Mus musculus: one gene and its partners. The protein of the gene in region 1 purifies or fractionates together with the protein of each later gene. This does not show direct contact. Links are inferred from orthologs where the notes say so. Each region holds a gene or a part of one and is shown on either strand. Other genes may lie near its edges.

Region 1 (8,603 bases):
ACCTTGATCCACAACTTTCAGTTCCCAAACATATGCTAATAAAAGTTGTAAGCCATCCTATAGGACTAACAAGGGCAAACCCCAGACCAATTACAATGTCTACAGTTTAGCTTGGCTTGGTTTGGTTTTGAAAATCTGGGCTGCAAGTGCTGTATGAAAGTGTGACACCTGCAAGCCACTATTTTGGTTTTGTTTTTCTTTTTTCTTTTTCTTTTCTTTTTTTTTTAAAGATTTACTTATGTAATGCATGTGAATATACTCTCACTCTTCAAATACACCAGAAGAGGGCATCAGATCCCATTACAGATGGCTGTGAGCCACCATGTGATTGCTGGGAATTGAACTCAGGACCTCTGGAAGAACAATCAGTGCTCTTTACCACTGAGTCATCTCTCCAGCCCTTGGTTTTGTTTTTCAAAGATTTTATTTTGGATTTTATTTTTGGCTTTTCTATATAGGGTTTCTCTGTGTCCTGGAGAAACTATAGAGACCAGGCTGGTCTTGAACTCAGAAATCTGCCTCTGCCTCTGGAGTGTGCCACTACTGCCCAGCTAAAGATTTTATTTTTCTGTGTGTTCCGTGTGTATGTAAGTGTACAGTGTAAATGCTGTGCCCTCCAGGGCCAGAAGAGGGCATTTGGCTTGAAAAGGAGTTACAGATGGTTGTGAGCAGCCATGTGGGTGCTGGGAACTGAACCCAGGTTCTATGCAAGAGCAGCTATCTATCAGCTGTCTGCCTGTACCTACCTACATACCTACCTATCTATCTTTGTTTTTAGGGACAAGTTTTTTTTGTGTGCATCCTTTGTTGTCTCTGTAAGCCAGTGGACCAGGCTGGCTTCAAACTTATAGAGCTAGAGAGCTCCTAGAGATCTGCCTGTGTCTGCTTCCCAAGTGTTGGGAGCAGTTGTGTGCTGCCACCACAACCTGCTTCAATATATTTTAATTTTATTTATTATTTATTATATTAATATGTTTTAATTATACAATTATGATATATCATATGTAAATTGTATTTATTTTTATTTAATGTTCATTGTTATTTTGCCTGCATGTGTCTATGTAAAGGTGTCAGACGCTCTGGAACCAGAGTCACAGACAGGTTTGAGTCGCCATGTGGGTGCTGAGAATCGAATCTGCATCCTCTAGAAGAGCAGTAGTCAGTGTTCTTAACTTCTAAGCCATCTTGCCAGCCCCTGGCTCAATGTTTTTGTTTTTGTTTTTAAAGATTATGTAAGTACACTGTAGCTTTCCTCAGATACTCCAGAAGAGGGCATCAGATTTCGTTAAGGATGGTTATGAGCCACCATGTGGTTGCTGGGATTTGAACTCAGGACCTTTGGAAGAGCAGTCGGTGCTCTTAACCACTGAGCCATCTCGCCAGCCTCTCAATGTTTTTTAAGCACTCAAATTTTACAAAATTTTATGCAAACTTAAAGAATTCATAAAATATAATCAGGGCCAGTCAGTGGTGGCACAAGCCTTTAATCCCAGCACTTGAGAGGCAGAGGCAGGCGGATTTCTGAGTTCAAGACCAGCCTGGTCTACAGAGTGAGTTCCAGGACAGCCAGGGCTACACAGAGAAACCCTGTCTCAAAAACAAAAATATATATATATATATAAAATAAATCAGGGAAATGCTGACTGGACTTTTAATGATCTTTGTGATTTTTTTCAAATGTGAATCACTGTATGTATGTAGCTAGACCGTATAAAAAATCTTTGGGCATGGGCAGGCTAAAAAGATGGCTCAGCAGTTCATAGAGCACTGGCTCCTCTTTGAGAGAGATCTTGGGTTTGATTCCCAGTACAGTACAGAACCCACTACTGTTCTAACTCCAGTTCCAGAGGATGCAATGCCCTCTTCTGACCTTTATGGGTACTGCACACAAGTGGTTCAGAGACTACTTCAAAATATTGATATGCATAAACATAAAAACGCAGCTTTGGAAGATTTGTACTTTGAGCGTCAAACCAGGGAATTGTGGGTGGCACAGAGCTCAATAAACCAGGCTCATCCAGTTGGAGGACCATGAGCCTCCTGAAAAGCCAGCTTGACACACTTCGTTGGGCACACCTGTGTGTAGGTGGAAGGCCAGCCAAATTCATCATACAGTAAGAGTGGGGATAGTCACGTGGCTTTTTGTTTTAGAATAGTTCTGCATAGAAGAGCAGCTACCTGGATGTAGGGTAATGATATTGCAAATCCATCTTCCTTAGAGATAAAAATAAATGAGCTTGAAAGAACACTTGGTTTGCTTCAGATTGATGTATAGCCAGAGGGTATGCGTGCTTGTGTAAAATAACTGGGCCACAACTGAAGATGGAGAGTGGAGGCCATTGGATTCCTCATCTTTTAAGTTTGATGACTCTCCGGAGCCAACAGCTGTTTCCTGGATACCACAGGGGCAGGTGTGGCCAACAGAGCAGGCCAGAAGCGATGGCTTTTGTGGGATTAAGCTATAGAAGTCCCCGTAGTGCCCCTTAAATTCCTGCCTCCCCTCAGTCTGAGGCTACACTCAGAAGAAGCCAACATGGAGTGCCCTCACGGAGTAGCAGGAACTGAGACTCCTCAGGAGGAACTGGAGTGGCTGGCACAAGCACACGACCGGGAACCCCCCCAGCCAGGCCCTCCACTAAGGAGGCTCCATCCTCAGCGTCGTGAAACACGCCTGGCGGTGATGGTGCACGCCTTCAATCTCAGCATCCTGGAGGCAGAGGCGGGCGCGTCTCAGGGATGAGGTTCAAGATAGGCAGGCAGCCCGTTCCAAGGAAAACCGCTCCTCACAGCAAAACCATACAACTTCTAACATACGGGGGCTCGGGGGGCACGCAGTCCCCAGAGCAATGCGCCAGGCAGCACAGCTACAGGGCACTGCGGTCGGTGAGGACTGTGGTTCTGTTGACTCTGAGGACAATGGGACAAGGGCCAGGCACGGCAATCAGGGAACCCTGGGAGCCACAGAATGGCCGCGCGACGCTGCTCTGGAAGAGCCGGCTCTCGTGTCCCACAAACCCTCGCACCCGGCATTCGGCAGAAGGCGCGAGGGCGCCGGCCCACGCGGGACGCGCCCACGAGGCCCGCAGCAAAATGGCGACGGCGCCGACCCGCGCCCCCTGGCGGCGCATGCGCAAGGCGACCCCGCCCGCGAGAGCGGAAGTCTTGTGACCCCGGAAGTGACCGTCCGAGCGGCGGGCGGCGGACGACGTTCGTCATTTGGTGCGGGAGGGAGCGCGAGAGCGGCGGTCGAGCCTCCGGTGAGTGGGCGCGTGGCGCAGCGCGGTGCAGTGCGGGAGGGGAGTGGGTTGGCTTTGTGCGGCGTCGCGGGCGACTGCGGCGCTCGCGGGCGGGGCGCGGTCACCCGGGCGGGCGGGCGGGGCGGGCCAGGGCGGCAGCGCAGGTCCTGCCGGAGGGGCCGCGGCCCCCCGGGCCTGCGCGCCTGCTACCAGGGGACCCCCTTCCTCGGCCTCGCGGGCGGGGTCCGGCGCGGGGCCTGGCCCGGGGCTCCCGCCGCGCGGCCCCGCCCCGCTCGGATTGCGGGCTCTACGGAAGTGCGGGCCGCGCCCTGATGCTGTCGCCGGCGGCCACGCTTGGCGTCGGGTGGGGTTGTCTGTAGCCTCCGGGTTTCGGACCGCCGCTTTATGTGTTTCCTTGGCGGACACCTCTCAGAGGGACAACGGCCGGGCTCTTCCCGGGACCGCTGCGCATTGCCTGTAGGCATCACAGTGGGTTTCCGAGAGACGTTTGGGAATCTGCGGAACTGAAAGGCATCTAGGCGCTTCCGTCCTGGTTGGTTCCTCACCGCCACTAAAGGTTTAGGGTCAGGGCCCAGAAACAGGCTCCTGAGATTTATTTGCAAGCGGTGCACTAGCTCCCAAGTTGCATACGCAGACCCTCACTAGAGAGGACAGACCTGCGTATTTAGGATCCCCTTTGGGCTCTTGGGATTTAAGCGGTCATCACATAGTTGAGCTTAGGACAGTATTCCATTGGAAGGGACGAACAAACAGACCCTTGTCCTGCACGTGGCTAACATACAGAGCATCTCCCTGTCGGAGAACTTACCTCCATGACCCAACCCAGTAAGATGAGAGCCTGGGCAGCTAGGGACAGCAACAGGACCCCAGGGATTTAGTGTTGCGTCTGCCAGTTCAGTTCGGTCTGGAGGCTTATTCTTAGTGGGGAGGAAAGGTGTTTTGCTTCTCTGAGGAACAGGCTGTGGTCCCATTTCGTTGCTTGGGGTTCTAGTCCTCTCAAATGGGCCTCTGCGTAGGGCAGTGGCAGCATCCTCTCAAAGTTCCAGTCAGGTGTCCTGCAGGTGTCAGGGTCTGCCTAGGGTGGAATGCCTCCAGGCTGTCACAGTCCTGCTCATGCCCCGCCCACAGGTGTCCCAAGCTAGAGGTAAGCATGGCAGAACAGGAACCCACTGCTGAGCAGCTTGCGCAGATAGCTGCAGAGAATGAGGAAGATGAGCACTCTGTGAACTACAAGCCTCCAGCCCAGAAGAGCATCCAGGAGATCCAGGAACTGGACAAGGACGATGAAAGCCTCCGAAAGTACAAGGAGGCCCTGCTGGGCCGAGTAGCTGTCTCTGCAGGTAGGTGGCTTGGAGGAAGGATGTCATCTAAACCTGTGCCCAGTCTCTTTCCAGACCACTCTTCCAAGGAGTGAGTTTAAAAAGAAAAATCTTAAGGGATGGGACTCTGACTCTTAACTCTCACTCTGCAGACCCCAACGTCCCCAATGTCATTGTGACTCGACTGACCTTGGTATGCAGCACTGCCCCAGGCCCTCTGGAACTGGACCTGACAGGTGAGTGGGTATTAGAATCCCTGGGTGGGGCCAGCTGGCATCTTGCCTCTACCCCTAAAAATAATTTTCTGCACTGATGCCCTCTGGTGGAGAAGAGGGGAAGTGCAGCTAGGGGCTTGCCGAAGCTCTGCTTTGTGTCAGGGAAGGGGCTGGGGAGAGTGAATGTAGCAGGGTGGAGAGCCCTTCAAGCAAGCAGTCAGCGGAGACTCCTCCTCAATACAGGTGATCTGGAGAGCTTCAAGAAACAGTCGTTTGTCTTGAAGGAAGGTGTGGAGTACCGGATAAAAATCTCTTTCCGGGTAAGGTGGGGGCTTTGAGAGGCCTGGAAACAAGGGGCAGAGGGGCAAGCCTGGGAAGGCAGCTGACCCTGGCTCTGTGTCCCCACAGGTGAACAGAGAGATCGTGTCCGGCATGAAGTACATCCAACACACATACAGGAAAGGGGTCAAAAGTGAGTGGGCGGGCCATAGAGTGGGGAGCCATTGGGCCTGGGAGGGGCGTGCAGCACCAGTAATCCTGCCTCTCCTGTCCCTCAGTTGACAAGACTGACTACATGGTCGGGAGCTATGGGCCGAGGGCCGAGGAGTATGAGTTCCTGACACCCATGGAGGAGGCTCCCAAAGGCATGCTTGCTCGGGGCAGTTACAACATCAAGTCGCGCTTCACAGATGACGACAAGACTGACCACCTGTCCTGGGAGTGGAATCTCACCATCAAAAAGGAGTGGAAGGACTGAGCTCCAGCTGGGAGACGGGCAGGGCGACGGACAGACAGAAGGACCGACATGCCCCACCCTAACCCCCTACCTACCCCAAACCAAAGTGCTGACAGGACCTCCCTCACCCGTCATTCCTCCCTAGTCCACTCAGGCAGTCAGCTCTCCTGTCTGCCCCTCCTCCACCTCCTGCCCGCAGGCCCCTGTGGTCTCCAGTGTCACATTGCTGCTTCTGCCTGTGCAGTGGGGGAGGGGTTCCAGCCCAGGCCTCCAATCTGCTGTGTCCCTCCAGGTTCCCTCTGTCTTCCCTTCCTCAGGCCCTGGCTTCTAGAATGGAACAGAACACTGTCAGGGTTGTCCAGCCCACCTTGTCTCTGTCGCAGCATGGGGAAGGGCTGGGCTATCTGTCCTCTAGTCCCACCACTCCCTGGCCAGGTCATCCATCACTGTCAGTCACTGTCTAACCATGATGCCTTAACATGTGGAACGTGTGCTGGGGGCCGTCGCTAACTCTTAACTCCCTGTCTGCATGAGCATGTGCTCTCCCTGTCCTCGCCTCGTCTGCCATCCCCATCCCAGTGACCCACCCAAGGGAGGCCTGGGGTGCGCTGCTGTTGCTTCCTGCGAGCCTGGCCAGCTCTTCCCCTCCCCGTGGCCAGGGTTGGGGGTGGCTCCAGTAGCTAGGGGAGGGTCAATTGCCAAAACTCGATGCCTCCAGCCCCATCTAGGAGGCAGGGTAGGGTGCCTCATTCCTCTGCCTTCTCTGTCCCTTGTAGGCAGTACTCGGAGCCCCTGTCCCCACAGAGAGCCCCTGAGGGACAAAGCCAGCCGAGCCTTACTTGTCTCACCTGGGCCACGTGGCCTGAACCTCGTGCCTGGCCTGTCAGTATTTATTGCCTCCATTTGGGCCAGCTGGCCTGATGCCTCTGCCCTGGTTCTTGGTGCCACCATCCCTGGGCCGACCCTCCCTGGACCCAGCCAGGACAAATGTGGGACCAAGTTCACACAGTTGGGAGCTGTCTCCTGTGCCTCCCCTCCCTATCCCCAGTCCCTGTGTGGTGTCTGCCAGGCCCAGCCTCAACAGGCAGAGGAGCCTGTCCCTGCTTCTCTTCTGACTGGGAAATAAACACCCCTGAAGGAGTCTGGGATTGTGTGGTCTGTGCAGCTTGTGTTGGGGTTTTGTAGGGAATGGTAAGAATCCAGTGGAGGGTGGATGTCCCTCAGATCAGATGTCCTGGCTACAAGGTTGTCTGCTGCTAACAGCCCTGTTTTGTCTTTGCTCCTGGCTTCCTGTGGAGATGTGAATATAGAACAAACCCCAGGCCCATGGGTCACAGTGCTGGCCCTGGGCATAGAGGGATTGCCTGAGTCAGCATATCTAAATTTCCCCTGGCTGGGACTTGCCCTCAGTATGGAGCCCTGCTGGAAGATCAAACTGATCTGGCTCTGAACAACTTGCATGTGTAGGTCGACCTGGTGAGAGAGTTCCCTATGCCTGTTAGTGAGGCTAGTTGGAACAGGAAACCGAGCCTCTGCACATCTCCAGTACTGTGCTCTCTAGAGCACCCACGAACCTAGGGAGAAAGGGCAGGACCACTGAACCATGAAGCTTGTAGCAGAACCCTGAAAAGCCACTAAGCCTTAACAGGGCTCTTGTGTAGCTCTCTGTAGTGACCACAGGGAGGCAGGATTACTTGTCTGTCTTCAGCACAACCAAAGGTACCTAGTAACCTCAAAACCCCATCCTGCCTTTACAGGAGTCAGTCTAAAAACTTCCCTTTTCAGCCTTATGCTAGCTTTGGAAAACCACCCTCTGATGAAGCTGTTCAGGAAAGTGGGTGTACCAGTTGTGTAGCGAGTAGTAATCGGCTACTTTGCTGGAGCCCTGCCAATCTTGCCTTGGGGTCCACCAGTGGTGAATAGTGTGATGAACCTTTATTGCAGGGGGCCAAAAGATACCTTTTTGTCTTGTTGCTGACAGCTGACCATAAATTGGGCCATGTCCGCCATTTTTACTAGATCCATCGGAGCCAAAGACTGGCGGACCCCAGAACCAACCTTCTGTGGGACACTAACCTGATAATAGCAGCTCCTTGTACTAGGCAGCCAAATTGTTGATCCAATCCTTACCCAGAACTCTTCCTGGCCCCAGCAGTCGGGGCCTGAGCAGGGTGAAGCCTTTTCTCCAAACTGCAGAGCCAACCAGTCTCCTAGCTCATCCTTAAAGTGTTTATTAGATGCTCTCAGCGATGCTGTTTATCAAATAAGGGCTTCTGAAGCTCTCTTTGGACCAAGATACTTAATCTTACAGCTCTGAGTTTGTCCTAGGCAGCTAAGTGTGTGAACTCAGACCCTAAGTTCCAAGTGTACAAGCCTACTGCCAACAGCTAGGACTTTGCTCTGGCTCCTCCCAGTGCAGGTTAACTCAGAGTGGCCTCAAAGTGCATGATGTGTTTCCTAGGTCCCAAGTCTAACCAGATCCTCCCAATCTCACGCCCCCTAACCTGCCTCTGTGGAGAGCTGTTGCAAGGCCCTCAGGAGCCAGGCATTCTCCACAGCAGCTCCTCTCTGACTAGGACTCCCAGGAATTGCCTAGCTTCTTGGCTCTTCAGACACCTATAGACAGGCCTCCTCTCCTGAGGAAAGTGATGGGCTGTAGGTAGTACCAGTTGATGAGCAGTCAGCTTCCATGCTGTGTAAACATCTGCTATTGTGATTTACAAGACCCTTCTCTGCCCAGCACAATCCTGTACCAACCAAAGCTACCATCCCCATAGCCGTGGACACCATTCTGCTTCCCGCTTGGCTGTCATCAGCTCTTTCAGTTCACCCTCCAGGTCAATCAGTCTTGGAGTCAATCTGCTGTCCACCCTACTGGACACCCTGCCAGGTGTGTCCCTCCAAAAGGGAGTTGCTTGGTTCTGAGAACTCTTAGGAATAGTCAAAACCTCCAATAACTCAACCTATAGTTGATGAGCATCTTCTCTGAGTAAGACTCCTGCCTGAAGGATATTTCAATGCATTTCCAATGGCCCAGAAAATGTGTAATACTCAGTGTGGGTCTTACAGGACCTTG
Region 2 (3,500 bases), on another chromosome or scaffold:
GATAGCGTGGTCACAAGAAATGAGGGTGAAGCCAGCCGGTTTCCAGCAGAGTGTGAGTGCGTCGGACTGACTGACCACCTCACACCCTACAGCGATGAGTTTCAGGGCTAGGGAATGTGGCTGAGTTAGAAGGATGCTTACCTAGCACGCACAGGGCCCCGTATAAACCAGGCATGGTGGGTCATGCCCATAATCCCGGGACTCAGGAGGTGGAGGAGGGAGTGCCAGAAGTTCACGGCCATCCTCCATAATGCAGCAGTTTGAAGCAAGCCTGGGATTCTCACATGATAACATGTGTCTCACATGATAGCAGTGATAATGGGATGACAACTCTGAGTCACTGGTGCTCAGGAATGGCCTGAAGTTGGCACTGAGAACCGTCCCCCGTCTGGCAGGTCTCCGCACAGGAGGTCCGAAAGGAGAACCCTGTCCAGTTTAAATTCCGGGCCAAGTTCTACCCCGAAGACGTGGCCGAGGAACTCATCCAGGACATCACACAGAAGCTCTTCTTCCTGCAAGTCAAGGACGGGATCCTCAGCGACGAGATCTACTGCCCCCCAGAGACAGCCGTGCTCCTGGGCTCCTATGCCGTTCAGGCCAAGTTCGGAGATTATAACAAGGAAATGCACAAGTCTGGGTACCTCAGCTCGGAGCGGCTGATCCCCCAGAGGTGAGCCGAGGCTGGCCTGGGTGAGCACAAGCCCCTGTCTCAGGAGGAGGGAGCGAGCAGGAGATGTGAGAGGGAGCAGGTGATTCTGTCAAGGTGAAGTGCTCCCTTAGGCTGGGACGCTGGGACTTTCCAAAGTGCTCACTTTGGAATGTTCTCAGCCAGCAGGCTCCCCTGATGATGAATTGTGACCCAGCCAGGGTACCGTGTCCCTTTCTGACTTGCCTGCTTAGCTCTGCCTGGTACACAGTAACCTGACCTCTGGAAAATCTGTCCTTACTAAAGGTGGCAAAAAGAGACCCCCTTTGGAAGAAAAGGTTATTTAAAATAATTTTTCACAACTTCCAGCGGGAATATGTTCTTTGAAAGGCTAAATCTTCAGGTTTATGCTCAAGAAAGAAAATTGGAAAGTAGAAACAAAAAGCCGTGATTGTTCTATTCAAAAGAACAGTGAGGGATTGAAGGGGTGGGAGGTGGCTTCGTGGCTCACATCTCAGCCCTTGAAGGTGACAACAGTCCTGCATCTCTCCTTCCCAATGTCCAGAGTCATGGACCAACACAAGCTCAGCAGGGACCAGTGGGAGGACCGGATCCAGGTGTGGCACGCGGAACACCGAGGGATGCTCAAGTGAGTGCCTGCCTTTTCAGTGTGCCTTCTCTGGGACTGCAGGTAGCTCTTCCAGTCAGGTCAGCCAGTGTTAGGTCTTCATGCTTGGTGAAGTCCAAGATGGATGACTGGGCTTGCCTTGGGGAGAGGGAGATTTCAGTTTTGTGTTTTAAACAAGGCCTGGTGTTCTTGCCCGGGGAAAGAAACAACTCAGTTGAAGCCTCAAATGCTAGCTAGCAGTAACCACCCTTCAGTGGAAGGTCCAGTGGCCAGCACTCATTTGGCCGAGGGTAGCACTGGTTGCCAGTGAATCCGGGTTTCTGTCTCTTGTGGAGGAGCTCTAACTAACTTGATTATTAAAGTCATTATCTTAGTGTAATATGCACTATATATAATGTAAGCACGGGCTGCAGTTGAGAAGAGCAGCAAAGCTTGAGGGAGAGGCATGGGGCTTTAGAATACTCAAATGGAGACCCCAGTCCCTGCCTCTGGCCTTGTACACAGCCCCCACTACTTCCTTGTAGTTAGGGACTCGGGGACTGTGTGCCACAGGGGCCAGGAGTCTTTGTGAGTTCTTTCTTGGGAACCCTGATTGTTCTGTGAATGCGGAAATCTGAGTTATCCCTAGCAAGAGAATAAAAAGAGGGGAAAAGCCTGTCTCCTTAGAAACCAGGGCAAATCAGTAGCTTCTTCCTGAACTCACGGGGCCGATGAATTTACAGGGCTCAGGACAACACAGGCCCTGCCTGCCCATCCCGTATGCCGTGCCTCCCGCTCTACTCTGCATGACTGGCCTCCATTTCAAGAATAAGCAGAGACTTGTGTGTTCAGGTGTGAATGCTGCTAACTATAACACCTGTGCTTTCTTTCCCATTAGGGACAGTGCTATGCTAGAATACCTGAAGATTGCCCAGGACCTGGAAATGTATGGGATCAACTATTTCGAGATCAAAAACAAGAAAGGAACAGACCTTTGGCTTGGAGTCGATGCCCTTGGACTTAACATTTATGAGAAAGATGACAAGTGAGTTGAAGTTGATCGCTGATTTTTTTTTTCCTTTCTTTTTTAAGCTGTGGAATAGCAGGCCTGGAAAACAGAGGAAGTGCCATGCCAGTCCTGTGTGTGTTAGACTGTGTGGTAGCATCATCTTAAGTGGTGACCTGGAAGTTAGCTACTTAGTTAGATGTACCTTGTACATCTGTTCTGTAGGACATGGGACCTGTGGCAAGGAAAGGCCCCGAGTGCAGGACTATAGGACCCTGACCCTGTGAAGCAGAGCTTGGTGGCTCCCAGAGGCCGTTCCCCCTCTATGGCTGTTCTAGGCTCTTGCCTAGCTAGGGTGGACTCCTGGCTCAAGGCTTGTGCTAATCCAATCAGGAACGTTGATAATGCCACCAGACACTCCAGGATTCTGTAAGCAGCCGTCTGCATGTGTGAACAATTAGCTAAATCCCCTGAGACTGCAGAAGGTGTCCGATTGCTTCACAGCCATTACGTTGCCTGTCAAGCAAGGTCTGAGAACAGAGTCGAAAGAGCTGCCTGGCACTGGGAGCCTCTTGTCAGCTGATGATGTTTGTCCCTGAGATGCCTTCTTCCCACCAAGGGAAATCATCCCACTTCAGCAAAGGGGAGGTGGTCCTGAGCACAGCATAGAAGAAGGGCTCTGGCTGAGGAGCCGTGAGACAAGAATGTCCCAGGGTCTCGATGTCCCCGTTAGTAGGTCTTATCTGGGAAACCTAGAGGGAGGCCTAGAGCCCAGGAATGCAGCTGAGTCCCGTGAAGTGTGTCAGGATGTGCAGCTCTGCTTCATGTCCTGTCAGCTCCCCAGATCTCACCCTGTCCCCATGGTCTCTCTGGAGCCATCTAGGAGAGTGGCCCTGTTCCTAGTAAAGGACATATACATAAAGACTCCAGTTAGTGAGGCCAGGCATGGTGGTGCACACCTTTAATCCCGCACTCGGGAAGCCGAGGCAGATAGAGCTCTGTGAGTTCAAGTCTAGCTAGGGCTGCAAGGTGAGATCCTGTCTAAAATACAAACAACCCATACAGAACATCCCAGGAGCCCTTAACCCTTGGGGAACCAGAGGCAAACTGTGGGGAACTTGGCTGCTTGCTTGTGTGATGCGGTGTTGATAGAGAGTCTGAGGGAACTCTCAGAGCCAGGCCGCAGGCCTTCCTCCACGCCTGGAGTGGAGCCTGGAGCCTGTGAGCCATCACCATGCGGA
Region 3 (7,929 bases), on another chromosome or scaffold:
ATTGGGAGGCAGGGAGATGAGCCTGAAGGTTTCCTCTTATTTCATGGCGTCCAGGGCTTCCCCATCATTTTCCATGGTGTAATGGGCAAAGATGAGAGAGAAGGCAATAGCCCATCCTTCTTCAACCCTGAAGAGGCTGCTACAGTGACGTCATACCTGAAACAACTCCTGGCCCCTTCCTCCAAGAAGGGTAAAGCCCGCCTGAGCCCCCGAAATGTGGGCGTCATCTCCCCGTACCGGAAGCAGGTCAGGCCCTCAGTCCAAGCCTAGGACTTCCCTCTTTGCCCGCCAGCACCCTGGCCAGCAGCCTGCCTCTGCCTTCCTCTTGTGTGAGGGGGATGGCCTAAGAGAAGGGCACCTATTCCTCCCTCCAGGTAGAAAAAATCCGTTACTGCATCACAAAACTTGACCGAGAACTTCGCGGACTGGATGACATCAAAGATTTGAAGGTAACCTAACTCTCGATCATACTCCCCTTATCTAGGCCTGTGCTATGTCCTGTCCCACCCTGTTTACTCAAAGTGGAACTGGGGTTTCCCCCAGGTGGTTCTGAGGTGGAACCTGGCAGGCTGCCAGTTAACGCATACTGCCTTAATCAGGTGTGTGGCCTCTGCCTAAGGTTAAAGTCCAAACTCCCTTTACCAACCCCTCCTGTTACGTGATAACACCTGTCACATGATATTGCCCCAAGCCTCCTACGTAGTTTAACTGTTCTTGAGGGGTGGCTCAACACTGATTCAGATTAAAGTTTAATAATGCCACTTCTTGGATCCCACCCAGACAATTAACATAGCTGCCCGAGGCAGAGCCAGGGCTCTGGTAGAGTGTTTGTTCTTATTGTTATGGTTTTTAAAAAGATCCACAGGTGAGTGTGATATGTGGAGCCAGGGTTGAAAACCACTGAGTTAGGATTTACTGGCCTCTCCCTCAGAATTTCTGACCAAATTGGTGGCTGCCTCCAGGGATGAGAACTCCCACTCTGTTCCTTTGCAGCACAGTGCCGTTTGCTTTGAACAGTTTCCAGGCCCCCCACCCTATAACTGGCTCTGTCCCACAGACCTTCACAGCAGGCCTTCTGCCCTCTTCCGGGCTCTGCGATTCTCTTACTCATCTCCAAGTACCCAGTGTCTTGTCTGTACCTCCCTGGCAGCTTTGTCCCCTAGAGCAGGTCTGTCACCGTGGTTCCTCCTAGGCCTATCTGATCTTTAAAGCCCTGTGTCTGCACTCTAGGTGGGCTCTGTGGAAGAGTTCCAAGGCCAAGAACGCAGCGTCATCCTCATCTCCACCGTCCGAAGCAGCCAGAGCTTTGTACAGCTGGATCTAGACTTTAACCTCGGTTTCCTTAAGAACCCCAAGGTTGGTAGGCTTGTGGGTGGCGTGAGTCCTTCCATGGGGCCTGTCCCTTTGATGACATCACCGCTTCCTCCATCCAGAGGTTCAATGTTGCTGTGACCCGAGCCAAGGCTTTGCTCATCGTAGTGGGCAACCCCCTCCTCCTAGGCCACGACCCAGACTGGAAAACGTAAGTGTTCCCAGCCCCCATAGTTGCTCTTAGCCACCGTGAGCCCCAGCCTGGGGCAGGTTTGTCCTCGACAAGCACTGGCTTACTTCTCCCTTAGTCCTCAGAGCTGTTGGTGTTAACAATGCCCACCCTGTATTAATAAGTGAGGTGGAGCAACTCTGCCTCAGATGTGACAGTGCCGAGCAGAGGCCGCCAGACTCGGCTCCTTGGCAGTTCCCCATGCATGCCGATGTTCTGAACCCCACAGGTTCCTGGAGTTCTGTAAAGAAAACGGGGGATATACCGGGTGCCCCTTTCCTGCCAAACTGGACCTGCAGCAGGGACAGGACTTGCTCCAAGGTCTGAGCAAACTCAGCCCCTCTACCTCAGGTATGGATGGGCCCTGCTGGGCCAGGGAGGTGAAGTGTGGGAAGCCGGCAGGATAACCAAGGATGTCTCTTTTTTTTCTCCCAGGGCCCCGCCGTCACCAGAATCTCCCCCAGGAGCGGGAGGGTGAAGGGGGCCTGCCCTTACAAGTGGAGCCAGAGTGGAGAAATGAGCTCTGAGGCCACAGCCGCCCGCCTTCTCACACCAGCCAAGCCTTATTGCTGCCTATCCCTGACCCAGAACCCAGCTCTCCTGTCCCTGCAAGAGATGGGAAGGCCGGGAAGTTTACAGCCCAGACCATTCCGCCCCTTCCTCTGCTAGGGAAGACAACCCAAGCTGCTAAAACTCGGAGGAAGGGGGAGGAAGAAAGCTTTTTTTTTTTTTTAAACCCTCTCCTTTGCAGTGCTGGGGATCGAACCCAGAGCCTCAAATATGCTAGGCAAGCACTCTGCCCCTGAGCTGCTTTAAGAAAAACAAAATGCTGTTCTATGCAAAAGCCTCTTGCGTGTGTCTCATCAGCCTGGTCTTGCTTCCTGTGCCCCCAAGATGACCCTCCAGGAGGGTTTCTGCCTAGAGCCACGCCCCTTCATAGCTGCTTAGCGGGGAGGAAACCCGATGGACAGGGAACCAACCCACAGGCATCTATGTTTAGCCAATGGTCCAGACCACTCCCCTCACCCACCCAGGCAGTCTGCCAAACATGACCTCATCCTGTACTAGACTCCACCCTGTCCCCTGCTGCCTCCGCCCCCAGCCCTGCCTCAGCAGACAGGGGCCCAGCCTAGCCAGCAACTTGGAAATGAAGAGGAAAAGATGGGACTCCAGGCTCACAGCCAAGGTAGGCCAGTAAAGACAGGAAGCTGCCACACACGGTGCAACCTTTGACCTTTATTCATGTCCCCACCAAGTTAAGTCAAATAACAAGGCTACTACCCAAAGCAGAAACCCCAGTCCCTACCCTAGACTCCTCCTGTGAGCCAAAAATATATAAAGTGCTGGTGTGTAATATGGGGAAGGCCAGAGGGACTAAGAGCCCCACCCCCTGGACCACCGCTTCTGGAGGAGGAGCCCTGCTCAGGAAAGGCAGGGCACCAGCCCGGTTCCCAGAGGCAGGGAGGAAGGGCCTAGCAGCCCCCACTTGGGGCTGGGAAACTCATGCAGTCCTGGGCAGAAAGGAACCAAAAAAGAAACTGGCAGCATGGAGTCCTACAAGGATGGCGTGGGGGAGGGTAACTGTACCCCTGGGAAGGGAAGGGTGGGAGGGTTGAGGAAGCTTTGGGGAAGTCAGAGAATGGGACAGCCCCTCCGGCGCTTATTCTTCCGGACCTGTAGGCCCGCCCGAGTGGCCATCTCAAATACCTCCCGCACCCCTTCCTTAGTCTTGGCCGAGCACTCGAGGTAGCCAAAGGCACTGATCCTGTTTGCCATGTCCCGGCCTTCCTCAGATCGAACCGGCTCCTGATAAGACAAGATACAGGGTCAAAAGAAGGGGTAACTGAGCATCCTCCAGACTGGCCCTGCAGAATTCCTAGGTCCAGCTACCACGGCCAGTTTCCAGGCTGGGGACATAAGACCCAGGTTGCCATTGCAGAATTCTGTCTGATCCCTCCCCCGCCCAGCCTCACCCCTACGGCACCCATTCCCCCCCTGAACAAGTACCTACTGCCCAACTGACTTCATACTCCGTCTTCTCTAGTCTGGTGGCGCTCAGCCTTCTAGTGCTGCAACCCTCTAATACAGTTCCTCATGTTGTGGGGACACCCCCCCACTATAAAATTATTTTTGTTGCTACCTCATAACTGTAGTTTTGCTACTGTTATGAATCGTGATGTAAATACCTAATATGCAGGATATCTAACATGCAGCCCCAAAGGGGTCATGACCCACAGGCTGAGACTGTTCTCGTCTATACTACATAGCTACCAGAGTACTTTTACTAACAGAGACTGAACCCCCACCTAAAGCCTTAATTAGCCTCCCAAGATAGCCTACCTTCCCCTAAGTAAAACAGTCCACTGGCTAGAGTTATTTAGCAAGTCCTCGAGTACTCACCCCTCTGAGCCTTCTCCCAGCAGTGTATAATGCCCTCCCTCCCCAGGGAACTCTTAACACACAGCCCCCACACCCTCGGGCAAGTCGCTTCTCTGATACTTCAGTTACTTGGGGGCCCTTCTAGTTCTTCCCAGCATTCGGACAGGACAGCAGATGAACGTCACAGTCCCGCTACCACTGGCTATCAGCTGTTTGCATCTCGGCTGGGAAACTTGCCTCACCACCAGCAGCGCAGCCCCACCCACCTGTTTCATCTTGGCCAGCTCTCTCCTGGTATGCTCATCTTGCCTCAGGTCCTTTTTATTCCCCACTAGGATGATGGGCACGTTGGGACAAAAGTGCTTCACCTCTGGGGTCCACTTCTCAGGAATGTTTTCTGCAGAGATATCACCAAAACGTGGATGTACCCACTTCTACTTAGCAACAGAAGCCAGGTCTTCTATAGCAGCCCTGGAGTCTACTGAACAGGCAGTACCTTGCACAGCTCAAAGCCCTTTGCAGTGAACACTCCTCACCCCAAGGGCTACTGTCTCTATAGCAAAGGAGACTTGCAGGACCTACATGCTCCCAAGATTCTTCCAAAGCCTTACCCAAACTGTCAGGGCTGTCAATGGAGAAACACATGAGGATGACGTCAGTGTCCGGGTAGGAGAGAGGCCGCAGGCGATCGTAGTCTTCTTGCCCAGCTGTGTCCCACAGAGCCAGCTCCACCTGACACACAAGGCTATTGAGCAGTTGGCCTGAGGGCCCCAACCCTACCACCCTGAGGCCCTCTGAAATCACTCATCCTATAAGCTAGCTGAACAACATCTTAACTGCTCGCTATGTGCTGGGTTGTATTGATCAGTCACAAAACCAATGATCCACTTCTCTTAAGATCTAAGATGGGTTTGATCTTGGTGTAGTATGAGCTGCCACTGTCAGCAGCATTTAGTTCTTAGGACAACCCTTTGGGAGAAGTCTCACTCTCATTCACATTTTGCAGTAGGGAGAAGTTAAGCCCACAGGCAAAAGGGACTTGGCTCAGATTCCAGAGCCAGTATGTGGTCCAACCAGATAGTGCATCCAGGTTTTCTACAGTTCCAGTTTCACTTCCTAACTTCTGCTGGTTCCAGCAGGGAAATAAAGAAGGAGGTGGGTGGTAAGGAAGGACATCCATGGGCCCCGTGTGACTGGGGGAACAGGCTTCCCAGCCAGGAAAACAAGAAATACATGGCTTTCACCTGCTTGCCATCCACTTCGATGTCGGCTATATAGTTCTCAAAGACGGTAGGCACGTAGACCTCTGGAAACTGATCTTTGCTGAAGACAATGAGGAGGCAGGTCTTCCCACAGGCACCGTCACCCACAATCACCAGCTTCTTTCGGATCGCAGCCATGGCTGAAACTGGCAGGCAGGTGGCAGTGGGGATTTGAGGAGGGGAAAGCCAGTAAATTCAATAACACTTATCTAGCCACCCACCCCCTCAAGCCTGCCTAGAAACCACAGCATCCAGCAAAGGAAGAGAAGAGGGTTCGCCAAGGCCTGTTCTTGCCAAGAACCAATCCTGCAGGCAGAAGACCTTACAACTTCATCTCTCCAGCTGCCTGTTAGGTGGATGGTGGCCTTCCCATTTGAAAACAAAACAAAAAACTCTTTATTGGCCGAGGCACATACACATGTGGTGGTAAAAGACAAGTCAGTCTACCTTTGCATGGGGTCCTGGAATCAAACTCAGGTGACTATGCTTGCTTTGCAAGCACCACGCCCACTGAGCATCTCCCGGGTCCCTCTCGCTGACTCCGGGCCTTCCTGACATAAGCAGGAAACTGAGGCTCAGTGTGGTTTAGACAAAAGTACAGGGACAGCTCTCAAAACAGGACTTTGTGATGCAGTCTGTCTTGCCTACATGGCACTTCACAGGTGAGAGCAGAAGTGGGAGAAGCTAAGCCAGAGGCCAGTGGAAGCAGGCTGGCTTCCCTGACCCACCCCCTTCCCTTCCCCAAAGTCTCAAGTCACACAAAGAAGGCTCAGTCCTGGCAGCTCACGGTCAGGCAGCCTGTTCCGCTGCCTCCCCACCACCACCACCACCCATCCCCTTTTCTGGGCCTGGCAGCAACACTGGGTCACTCAGCCCCTGACAGGGGACAATGACCACACTGTGGGGAGCCACACATCTATCACAGCATTGCTGTGACGGAGCTAAACCCACTCGGGAATCACCTCCACCCACTCTCTGGAACAGCCCCTTCCTCCTTGTGACCAGCTGACCCTTAGGCCCAGCAGACACCTCCCTGTGACTCAAGATAAGGAAGGAGTCAGCTTCTCAGAGTTTATATGTGTCCTACACCCCAGCACACGTGAACGAGCAGTTCAGACCACAGGGAGCTGACCGGGTCAGTGAGGTCTCCAGACCTACACAGCCTGGCAAGGATCATGCCAGACAGAGTAGAGATGAAGCGAAGGCTGTGGGGGAGGGAACCAGAGCCTGGGCTGGGAGGAGCCTCCAAAGAAAGGACTAGTGAGGATCAGTCTAAGCTTTTGACCAGGCAGGGAGCAGTTAAGAAGGGCACAGTAACCTGAGCTCAGCCCCAAACTTGGCTTTGCCTTTCAGTCCCACATCCTGTCTGGCTCTGCTCAACTCTTAGCTCCCTACAAACCACCTCAAACCCTGGCCTGTGCCTGCCTTTTAGGAAGCAGAGTACTCCAGCCCCAGGCTGATTCTTTTCAGCATCAGGCGCCTGGGTGGTTCCTCCCTCCCCTACACCTACACACACACACACACACACACACACACACAAAACTGGGATGTGAGGAAAGAGGACATGAGTCACAGAGAATTTATAGGAGTTGCGTATGCACAGCCACACTTACCACCCCCCATCTCAAGGGGCTTTCCCTGGTACCCCCGAAAGACTGGGAAGAAGGCATTCGCTATGCTGCATATCTCCTTCAAAAATGAGGTCTGAGAGGTATATCCAGGTAACCCACAGGATTTCCTCCAACTTCCCCACCTACTCCCATTAATTCAACCAGTCTAGCTGTACACAGGCTGGCGGGGACAGCCCCAAGCCAGGGTGGGCAGTGTGGATGGAGCGTGATCCCTAGGACACTTAAACACTAGTCACATCCCCATGCGTGAGCCCCGGCTGTCCCACAGCAGCAAGGCGGCTGAGCATCTGATGGTGGGAGGCAGAGGCCGGAACTTCGTGGCTGTGTTAGAGCCTCCAGCTCCGAAGACTTTGCATCTAGGCTCTGCTTAGGCCAGAATAATTGGGGACTCAGGCCAAGCCGGGACATTAGGCCGAAGGCCAACATGGCATGGATGGCCTGGCTAACACTCCCTGTGAAAGGCGGCTCCAGCGGAACTGCCCCACTAACCCTAAGAGAGACAACGAAAACTTCACCCAGGGCCGGGAGAGGGGTCTGGAACTTCTGGGACCTTCCCTAGGACAAGCCACTAGCCTTCCTTATTCTCTTGATTTCCCAGGTGATCCAACAGGCCTTTGTACTCTGCTCCCCCCGAGATCTAGGCGAGGAATCACTCTTCGGGCAACACCTTTTCCTTAACTTTAAAGCCAGAAGTCAAGGAAGAGCTGGACTCCAGCTTTCAGCCCAATTCCCTAACACTCCCTAACTTCCCAAGAGGGTACGAGGAAGAGTTGGGGATTGGGGTGTTTTGTTCTTCCCCACCCCCCTTCACTCTCAGACACATATACACAACACAGGAGCGGGATCTTTCCTAGTCTTCTCAACCTCTCAGCTCAGATCAGCTCCAAAACCCGTCTAGGGCGGCGTCCAGACCCGCCAAGCAGTAGCAGCCTCCAGTGGTCACATCCCATCCCTATTCCCGCCATTCCCCATCCCAGGCCAGAACTCCCACCCCTAGCCAGCCTGAGGCCCTGTTTCTTACTCCCTGCCCGGAACTGGAGCGTCTGGGTTGAGTCGCTCACGGAGATCTAAGTGTGTCCCTGGCCCAGCTAGGGAGGTCCAGAAAGGAAAGACTCAG

What was found.
Region 2: the proteins of Arhgdia (region 1) and Ezr purify together in Homo sapiens (co-purification; 3 studies listed by BioGRID and IntAct, with this or other methods). This does not show direct contact. The link is inferred for Mus musculus from reciprocal best matches to the Homo sapiens genes ARHGDIA and EZR.
Region 3: the proteins of Arhgdia (region 1) and Rhoc purify together in Homo sapiens (affinity purification with mass spectrometry; 4 studies listed by BioGRID and IntAct, with this or other methods). This does not show direct contact. The link is inferred for Mus musculus from reciprocal best matches to the Homo sapiens genes ARHGDIA and RHOC.

Annotation. Positions count from the first base shown.
Region 1 is NC_000077.6:120,576,176-120,584,778, reverse strand, and holds Arhgdia (rho GDP-dissociation inhibitor 1), read left to right. Parts: upstream 1-3,154; 5' UTR 3,155-3,257; intron 3,258-3,531; exon of another isoform or gene 3,532-3,789; intron 3,790-4,385; 5' UTR 4,386-4,407; coding exon 4,408-4,597; intron 4,598-4,728; coding exon 4,729-4,812; intron 4,813-5,034; coding exon 5,035-5,111; intron 5,112-5,199; coding exon 5,200-5,263; intron 5,264-5,348; coding exon 5,349-5,548; 3' UTR 5,549-6,680; downstream 6,681-8,603. UniProt on the Homo sapiens protein: Controls Rho proteins homeostasis. Regulates the GDP/GTP exchange reaction of the Rho proteins by inhibiting the dissociation of GDP from them, and the subsequent binding of GTP to them.
Region 2 is NC_000083.6:6,751,781-6,755,280, reverse strand, and holds part of Ezr (ezrin), read left to right. Parts: intron 1-395; coding exon 396-670; intron 671-1,211; coding exon 1,212-1,295; intron 1,296-2,151; coding exon 2,152-2,298; intron 2,299-3,500. UniProt on the Homo sapiens protein: Probably involved in connections of major cytoskeletal structures to the plasma membrane. In epithelial cells, required for the formation of microvilli and membrane ruffles on the apical pole. Along with PLEKHG6, required for normal macropinocytosis.
Region 3 is NC_000069.6:104,789,287-104,797,215, reverse strand, and holds the end of Rhoc (rho-related GTP-binding protein RhoC), read right to left. Parts: intron 5,328-7,929; 5' UTR 5,320-5,327; coding exon 5,164-5,319; intron 4,652-5,163; coding exon 4,531-4,651; intron 4,317-4,530; coding exon 4,186-4,316; intron 3,347-4,185; coding exon 3,173-3,346; 3' UTR 2,757-3,172; downstream 1-2,756. Other genes in the region: Mov10 (putative helicase MOV-10), read left to right, coding at 55-246, 375-449, 1,231-1,356, 1,434-1,522, 1,770-1,891, 1,976-2,067. UniProt on the Homo sapiens protein: Regulates a signal transduction pathway linking plasma membrane receptors to the assembly of focal adhesions and actin stress fibers.